Linked DNA regions of Drosophila melanogaster. The gene in region 2 interacts genetically with the main gene of each other region. Each region holds a gene or a part of one and is shown on either strand. Other genes may lie near its edges.

Region 1 (4,982 bases), on a different chromosome or scaffold from region 2:
ACAATGTAGCATACAGATATGAATCTTTTGAAGTATTAGTTAGCAATTACTTAATTGCTATAGTATGGTGTATAATTGCTATAGTATGTATAACACCATTTGCAGATTATCCATGAATTATTTTCATATTATCTACCAATAGATAAGCTCTATTTATTGATTCTACCGATCAGAATCGAATAAAAATACGTAGCAGCTTCTCATAATATTTTTGTTTTTTTCGCTGTTATCTACATTCTCATTTTGTGTTCGCTAATTTAGCTTAAATTATGTCGATTCATTATTTTGGCTGAATTAGTTTTGGCCAAATAAAACCTGTTGGCCGAAATGCGTACAGCAATTTGCATGACTCACCTCCACATTTTCCACATCGAAGTAGCTGAAAGTTCGCTTGGTCAACTCAAACCATCGATGTTTGTAATTCACGGGGGTGAAACGCTTCTTGTTTTGAGCCCTTTTCACCATCGATCCACTTTTCACGACATCGTACAGCCTTTCGGACATCAGATCCATTTTTGCTTGAAAGGATTTGCTGCTCGATCGCAGCGATGATGATGACTTAATGCTGCCATTGACATGCGAGTTTCGATGCTTAGTGCCCATCATCTTGACAAGAAAAAGTGTCTGAAAAGCAAAGAAACATATTAGCTAACCAAAAGTTAATGTTAATATTTACACGCATGCCAAAACGTTTTTAACCCTTCGAAATAAGACATATTTGTATTAACCCAAGGGTTTTTGTCTGTGCTTTGATTATAGCCATGCATACGTATGAACAGACAATATTTAATCATACATTTATTTATCCCATTGGCAAAATAAAGATTTTTAAATAGTTTAATGGCCATTTAGTGGGACGTCAGAATGGATGTCGCATTGGCAAACAGAGGGTTAAAATTAGAAGCGCTCGCCCAAAAAGATTGGTTACAACACACTCTGCAGAGGCAAGGCCATAAATCTATTTTGGGGGGCGTGGGCGTGGGCGTGCGAATCTTTTTTGCAGCGCCCCTCGAGGCATTGACCGTGGAACATGGGGCCACCAAAACATTGGAGCACTGGGAGTTACCTGGTTGACTAATTGCCGTGGGCGTTCCGCTTGGCATCAATCAGTATGGGATGGCGAAAAGTGGATGAAAATAAAGTTATTCATTTACAGATACTGTATACTGCCTATTAATGGAGAAGTGTGGAGCCAAGGAAGGGAAAATCCAGTGGACAGACGAGTCGGTCAGCAAATCGAACGATTAAACGAACAATTAATTAGCCCCCGAGCAGACAGGAGATACATATAGGTTGGTATACACTAGTAAAGATCACTTGCTGACCTTGAAGTCGCGCACAGCGGATTAAAGGATTAGCCCCCAAAGCGGCATATTCCCCATTTCCTTGCCACCTTGTCCCCACAACTTCCATTTCGCAAAACGAGAAGCGTGTACGCAAACAAACGGGCCGTTGAAAAGGTGGCTCCAAGCGGAGGAGCAGCCACCACACGATCTCTGGCATTATCACACTTCAACAAAAGCTAACAAGACGCAGGAAGACTCCAGGAGCGAAGTGCTCTGAATTCGGGAATGGTTGAGTTATTGATTTATTTAAACATCTTACTAAGGATGATTTTAAAAAGAGTTTGTTTAATAAAAAAAAGTTTTAGTTTTCTTTACTCTGACGATATGATTTTCTTTATCTGATTCACAAATCCGCTTCTGATCATCAAGGAACATGAACGGACGCGTCTGCAAAAAAGGGAAACAAAGCTAAGGCGACAAATGCTCGTGCGACAACAACAATTGGCTGGATCTCCTGATCAACTCTTCCTCCTCACCGTCTCCTGACGCCCCCCACCCCCCACGCGCTTTAATCAAGCAGAGCCGCTACAAAAACAGGAGCGGAGTGCGGGGGCATGGGCGAACGGAGCGTAAAAAGAGAGGGCGAGAGAATCAGAATCTTCAGCGCAACGCGCATGGCCATAAGTAATAAAATAAACACGGACCGAGGCACAGAAAGGAAAAAAAGGATGGCAAAAAGGCAGAAGGCGCAATGTGTACATAAATCTTTTTGGTGGAGCGAGAGGCCCAAAGACCTGGGCTATAAGCACATCAATATACATACATATAGTATATATGTATATATACATATAGCGGGCGTGGCCTGGCAACTCGTTTTTGACTTTGAATTTCGCCACGCAAATGGTCGCGCTTAGTTTGTATTCTTCTTTGCATTTAATTTTTGTTTATTGTCGCGCTTTTTCTAGTGGAAGAGGAAGACTGGAGAATCTGCGACCTTAGCAAGAATTTCAGTCTAATTTGAAATCAATTTTTGAGTTACTTTATATTCCAAAAAGATTGATTTTTAATTTAAAATAAGTTAAGCAACTATGTAAACGATATTTTTTTAGCAGTACTTCTATTTGTTATTATTACAACAACAAAAAATTTCGTGTAATTAGTTTCTATTGTGACTTTAAGCTAAAGTCGCCATAAGCTGATTAATAAAATCAGCACAGCATAATTATTTATATTAACTTTGATTTGTTTTTTTTTGCGTTGCACGATGCCTTAAAATGAAATGCATTCAGAAAATGCAAAAGCAAGGGCGTCTGATTAGAATGCGTCGAGCACAGAGTTCGCCTTTCTTATCAGAATACAATAGTTTCAAGCGCAGCTTGCTGGGCAATTGAATAAATGCTGATAAGACAAAGAACAAAAGAAGTATGTATGTAATTCGATAGCGATAAAAAGGGGACGGAAAGGAGGAATAAAATTGATAACTGTGCCAGTTCACCAGCTTACCACAAGTGCCGTTGATTGAGCAATTTGAAGCAATGACCCGACCGCATAGCAACAACAATAACAGCAAGTACAACAACAACACCAGCAGCGCACACCACTAACAAATCACAATTCTCCAATTGGAGGGGGCAGACGCAACGGGTAACGCAACAATAACAAAACACTTTCGTTTGCGCGGCGACGAGAGTAAATACGAAATATCAACCGACCGGCTTGTTCAGCATTTGCATACTGCGAAAAAATCTTTATAAACAATATATAACGCAGGCACAGCTGAGACGCTCACACAGACGAGCAGACACCCGCACACACCTGCACGCAATTTTGGAGAGCGGGAGAGGAGCAACAGGCGCAACGTAGGATTCCTGGAATTCCTTACTTAGCGGCGCCCATGGCAGTTGCACTCGCGATCCTACGCTTTAACTAGAATCTTTTCCGTTTATTCACGTGGCAGCTGTATCTATGTTTGATTGGTTTGTTTACACTAATTAACTGTAATTAAATAGTAACGATTTAATACGAAACTAAACGCGCCGCCGCAACTTCTTTGCAGTGTGACCGCACTTCGAGTGGGGAGATACACCGATATGAAAATAACTACTCTTAAAATACCAGAAGAATACAAAATACCACACATACTGCCTTTTATTTTATTTTCCCGCGTATTTCAATATTTCAAAAAAATAACTAGTGATTTTAATTATTTCTTCGTTCCAAAATTAAACAAGCAATGTGACGAAACTTTATATATTTAAAGCGCAATATACTAAAGGAAGACGACTTGGTATAGTTACTTTTTTTAGATTACTAACAATTTAGAACCATTGCCGCGCAATTTTATTCAAATCAATTATTTTTTATTTGAAAAAATACTGTACTTAAGTACTTAACTAGCTAGAATTCGTTACACTTTATCAGGCCTACAAAAATAGAGTTTAGAGTTAAAAGAGTTTTGGTAATGCACGACAGCGGAGTAAGTTCGACACAAAATGCTAGTTAATATTGGGAATGAGATGCCCTCCAAGTCCACATCACTTTTCCTTCTTCTGTATGGAGGCAATCCGCCAGGCGCCCACCAAATATCGCACCCAGATCATGAACAAATCCCTGCCCATTTGCAGCCACGACCAAAATGGTGTCAGTTTCGAACCATCGATCTCCGTCCATCGAACGGCAACCTCGGACATTGGTAGCTTCAAATTCTCAGCGAGGTACAGCAGCTCAACATCAAAGGCCCAGCGCTCCACATGCAGACTGGTGAAGAGTTTCCTGGCCGTCGTTCGGGTGAACAGCTTGAAGCCACACTGGGTATCGCGAATGGAGCGCACGGCAAACAGCCAGACGAGGAAATGAAAGCCGTGCATCAAAATTGTTCTGTGGCAACGCAGATCAGTATTTGGTCAGCTAATAAATGTAGGATTTTATCTTACCTGAAGAAACTCCTTGTTGCAATCGCATCGTTCTCCAGATGTGCTCTCGATCCAATGGCAATGCCATCGTCTCGCCATTCGGGAGCTAATTGCTTGAGGGCCACCTCCAGTTTATCGTAGTCGGGAAACTTGGTGGCTCCATCCGCATCAGCGAAGAGCAGATTACGACCCCGTGCACTTAGCATACCCATGCGAACGGCACCTCCTTTCCCACGATTTTCGATGAGTTCCAGCACGCGTACCTTTTCTGCTCCGTGCTTTTTCGAGTAACCCAAGGCGACGGATACGGTGGCATCCTGACTGCCGTCACTGACCACGATGACCTCGTATGTGAAATTGGGAGTGCCAGCAGATTTCTGTTCCAGAAAGGCCAAGCACTCGTCCAGCATAGAAGGCACTAAACGAGTATAAACACACACAAATGAGAACAAGAAAATCGAATAGCTTTTGGGGAAAGTAACTTAAAGTAACATGTTAGTGTAATGAAGTTTCTGTAGATAAATTCGGGTGCCAGACAATCAATCACAAATGGGCATAGATAAAATGTTGACTGTGATTCACCAAAACAAAAACAAATAAGCAACATACAGCGCTGCTCCTCATTGTAAGCTGGTACGATGACACTGAGCTCCAAACTTGGCGAGTCCTCGAGACTGGGAAAAGTCACTGTTTTAATGGTGTGCGGGTCCAGGAAGGTCTCCTCATCCTTGTGCCGCTTGATGTTGGGATAGGGCTTCGTCTTGTAGAGCACCAGAGCCGCAAT
Region 2 (4,951 bases):
AATAAAAAGTAAACTCAATAATAAATAAATGAGAGCAAACTTATTCATCAAATATGAAGAGTGCTATGTAGTATTAAATGCAGTTTTTATCGGGACTGGTTATGAACTTTGTATTGTATGCACATAAATAATCTTGCGATATAAGCACAAGTTCGTATTCGCAATAAAAGATAAGCATAAAGAATATCATATACACTTTTGGGAGACACCTTTACGGTATATTTTTACATATATAGAGTAGACGTTGACTCACTTTTCGGACACGATTTTCTGATTCATAGACGCCTGGATCGAGTTCTCTAATTCGCGATACCCGTACTCTCACCTTGCTTACGTAACTGAGACCAGAGATAGCCGACTTCATTAGTCATTTATAATTTTTTATCAAATTCACCTGCACATAAAGTTTCCCTTGCTAATCTAATTATCAAATGGGGCAAGGCTACTAATTTATTTTTAAATTGCTACAAAGCTTTTCTCACTAATTTCTATCGTAAAAAAAGGCCCCTTTGTTTTTTTAATAAAGCAATTATCATCTAATCGATAAGTGACGCTTTGATGTGGATTGGTATGAGATTAGAAAGTTTGGGGCTCGAAAAACAAATCCGTAGCACGCAAATGACCATATTTTTAAGTTAACTGACGCGTGTGGAATTGTTTACAAAAAACATCTGTTAGGACACACGTTTTTGGTTAAATAGACTTTGCGACATCGACGCGGTGCCTATTCTTTGTCTATTGTTTGGCGTCATCAACTTGAAAACATCTCTTTAGATAAGAAATTTTGCACGCGCAAAATAAAAAAAAAAGAAGAACGCCAAATGCTCATTGATAAATCATTGGCAAATCGAAGGCAAAAAAACAACAAAGTCGACTTGTCGAAAGAGGAAGTCGAGCATAAAAACATTGAGAAAGAAGGCAAAAATAGGCGGAGCAAAATATTTCGCGTTTTTTTGTATAATGTAGCATGCGGTTTTTCGTAGAATTCTTAACCGGTTTCGGTACAGTTTTGTATTTGGTTTATAGAGCCGCACTAAAGATTGTTTATAGACAAAGTGAATATCTCCTACACATTTTCCCATACCTATACATATGTACTTTCGGACATTATCGACGAATCCAATCTAGTCACATGCCGTCTGTCTTCTGGGTTCGAAATCAAATTGTTGTTAATGACTTTGCGCCGCGTGTGGCGTCTCTCCCACTAAGTTTTGCATTTAAAAATAGGAATTATTGTAGGTCTACACCGGGATTTTCCTTTGTCTATGTAGGGGGTATTCTCACAATGGACGTACCATTCGATTGATCGCCCTGGATAAAGGTGTTTTTAACTTGAATAACCATTTTATACTTATATACTCATATACATAAATATATTCTCCTATTGATCACGGTTTGGAAACATTGTGTTTTTCACTATACTCATCCGATTTGAGTTTTTATTTTTACAGACTCGTATTATTTCCTGCCCATTTAAGGCTATTAGGCGAGTGTGCGACTATTTTGCGCAGTTGAATGAGCAGCATATGAATCTTGATTTATGCAAAAACTGCGACTTGCGCTTCAAGACACTTTTCAATTGTCTGGCTTACACAATAATATATAAAATACTCGAAATAGAAACAAAGGCGTGTTTGTTTTTTGTTGTTGCTGCTTTGGCTTGCGTGTGCGCTTTGGTATTTCCATTTATTAAATTTGTATGCATACCTCCTCCTCTCTCCCAAAAATGCGAAGAGATGAGCAAAGAAGAAGGGGCGAAAGATAAAGAGCAATAACCAAGTTGCACTTGAATCTCATTTAGGTACCGAGTTCAAATCCGTTGCGGGTAAAAAGAAAAAAAAAACCAGTTTACTTGGAAGTGCGTGGGATTATTTGACACCCTTTGTGATCCCTTTTTTCCTGCACTTTGTATTGTTTTCGGTTTTACAATGCATATTGAATAGTTCGTCGGAAAAGGAAACTTGCAATTTGCTTAAATGGCTCGTAAATTGATTTTCTGTGTTGGTTTTTGCTGTTGTATCGTTTTTGAAAACCAACAAAGCGTAAAAAAGGTTCACGCAATAAATGAGTAACGAAATGCAATGCAAAAACGCCTGTTTCCTATTTCCAAAATACAGTGCTCTATGTTTTTTGCTTGTAAGTTGTAAACATATTTTTGTATGAAAATCTAGGTGCACATTTATCACTTTGGTACAGTGGATACCCTCGGTCTTCACAATTCACCGAATCGGGTATGCACTGTACCAACAAAAACTGCACTGCAAAGAAGAGCAGGTGATAGAGAGAACTAGCAAGCAAACCAAAAACAAAGCAGCCTGAATATTGTTATTGTCATTAAAATACCGTTCCATTCAGTGCCAGGTACGAAAGAGAGAGGCATACAATGAGAGAGAGAGGGGGAGAAAATAGGAAGGACAGCAGGCAAATTGCCGAAGGAAAATCACCTGAATTTGGGGATCCAGCTCGCCGTCTTCTGCACTCGACATTTTTACTGGTTTTCACTGAATTCGTTCCAAATGCAAATATATCGCTAAACGCGTTAATTTTCACTTTTCTGCAGCCCGCTTTTCAATTGAAAAACGCTTTTGCATTTCACTATTTGATCTCGTTGCTACACAGACACATCCCACGACTATCAATTTGCTTGTGTGTTTTGTTTTTCTTTTTTTTTTCTGTGTTTTTTTCTATAATATTATGTAAATTGGTGTTGGCAATTTTAACTGGCAATTTGCTATGCGGGTACAGCAGCAGTATTAAAACAAATATTTCATTTTGCGTCTTATGTTTCACAACGAAGTTAAAAGCGAAAAGGGAAAGGGACACATGGCGATTACATTAAGTGTGAACAAGACGAACGGTACAAGTGGACAGGGCACGCGGCTTTTCACCTTCTCCTTCGCTCGGGGCATCTAAGATATTTAATTAACTCGCTTATAAAGGCTAAACTATCCTAAAAATTAAAGACGCGTCCAGACGCGACGAAATGAGAAGCTGAATTCGGTGTGACCGCAGCGCGGTGTTACCAGATAGTGAAATGCTGACCAGCAGTTGCTGAAATAAACATTTGGTATTTTTATTGTATTGGTATATTTCATTACAACGCTGGCATTGTTGCCAACTATTTTCAAGAAAAATAAACAATTAAAAAAATGTTTGATTTTCATTGCACCAGTTTGATAATGTAACAATTTATATTTAAAAAAATGCTAAGTTAACATATTAGTCTTCAAAATTACTCTTGGCGGGCTTGGTATTTTCTCTTACCATTACGTCATATGCCTCATCTACATAACCATCACATCACGTTACGTAGTTGATTCACTTCGTAACGTTATGAATAATTAAAAAAATTTTGTTTCAAAAAGGATTTTTGTTAAAGTTGCTAAATACGTATTAATGAAATATAAATAAATAGGTCTGACTAAGTAACAAAATATGCATTAAAACCAGAAACATTTTACTATGAAAGTTTACTTTATTTGTTATTTGTTTTCATCATTTTTGTTTTGCCCTTTATGTGCTTTACATGTTTGTGATTTTTTCGTATTTAATTTGTTTACTTTTCCTTATATGCGTTTATAAATCGAATACTCCAATTTCCTCTAATGATATGCGCACCAAACATATTTTTAACTGAGCGCAATTAACAGAAAACCGAAAATACTCTCAAAAAACAAAATTTTCACTAAAAGATTTTTATTTATGTAAATTATAAAGAAGAAGGCAATTCAGTTGTATACCACGGAATTTCATACGTTATTCAGCATCAATGCCCGATTAAACATAATTTATAAAGATGGATTCGTTTCCTTCTTTTATTTTTGATTTCTTAATTTAACGCTAATATAAGATTTATATTTTATATAATGCATCTTTTTACTTTGTATGGAATAACACTTAATTATACATTCATTTCATATAGTTTGATTTTAGTTGTAATCATAACAAAAAGAAACATTTCTGTGCAGCGTGATTTGAAAAAAATGAACAAAGAACTAAGGTACAAAATTCTAGAATAATACAATTTGAAATTGTCTGAATGGGATCTTTAAATAGTAGTTCTTGCCTGACTTTCATTGTGTTTGTTTAAGAGTGTGCCGTGTGGTTTATTTGTTGATTCCTCCTCTGTCGTATAGTATCAAACCACTAAATACTTGTCCATATAAATGATTTCGTTTAAATATTTATTTATATATCGAATTATATATATTTTATGCTATATAATAACTATGCAAGTTCTGCATATATGCATGTTGCGCTTCATTTACCATTCTTTTACTTGGTTATTTTCATTTTGTATTGTTAACACTCATAGTTTCGGGAATGGGAGGAGAGTTTAGGAAAAGTACAAAAGTATACATGGTTTGTCCAAAGCTTTTCAGTTGTAGTTGCTTTTTACTACACAGTGTGCATATCGAAATGATACAGAATACGATCCAATATAAATGCTTCTCCACACGCAATTGGAATAAGAAATACAAAAACAAATTGAACTTAACTAAGTTGAAGTACATAAAACATTACAAGATACACCACAACTTCTAAATTCAGCTACACTACGATTTGTTGTTTGATTGGAGATTTATTCACTGTCTATGTTTAGGCCCACTCGCTTCTCCTCCTCCAGCATGGCGTCCAGCTCGTCCGTGAGATTGGCCAGCATATTGCCAATGTCGTTCAGAACGTTCACCGAAACTTTGGGCGGAACGCCGTTGTTTATGGCCACAGTTGGTACGGCTGCTTCTGGCGAACTTGCAGGCTCCGCCGTTGATCCACCGGCATTTGACATATCCAATGTGGGTGAACGCAGGTGCAAGGCACTTCCACCGCTGGCTGTGCTGCCCATGCTTTCACTCCGCGCCAATGTGGCATCGTGCAGCGAACTGGAAGATTTCAACGAATGGAACGAGTGCGCTATATTCGCGATGGTGTTCGTGGAGGAGGAGCTGGA

The links. A genetic interaction does not mean that the proteins touch.
Region 1: of pcs (region 2) and Btk, changing one suppresses a phenotype caused by changing the other (phenotypic suppression), as found in Drosophila melanogaster (4 studies listed by BioGRID).

What each region holds. Positions count from the first base shown.
Region 1 is NT_033779.5:8,297,717-8,302,698, forward strand, and holds the start of Btk (bruton tyrosine kinase), read right to left. Parts: upstream 3,031-4,982; 5' UTR 2,790-3,030; intron 625-2,789; 5' UTR 607-624; coding exon 355-606; intron 1-354. Other genes in the region: wol (wollknaeuel), read right to left, coding at 3,821-4,163, 4,220-4,616, 4,808-4,982. UniProt on the Drosophila melanogaster protein: Required for proper ring canal development. Also required for the development of male genitalia and for adult survival.
Region 2 is NT_033778.4:14,979,317-14,984,267, reverse strand, and holds the start of pcs (parcas), read right to left. Parts: upstream 3,006-4,951; 5' UTR 2,487-3,005; coding exon 2,445-2,486; intron 1-2,444. Other genes in the region: ckn (caskin), read right to left, coding at 4,583-4,951.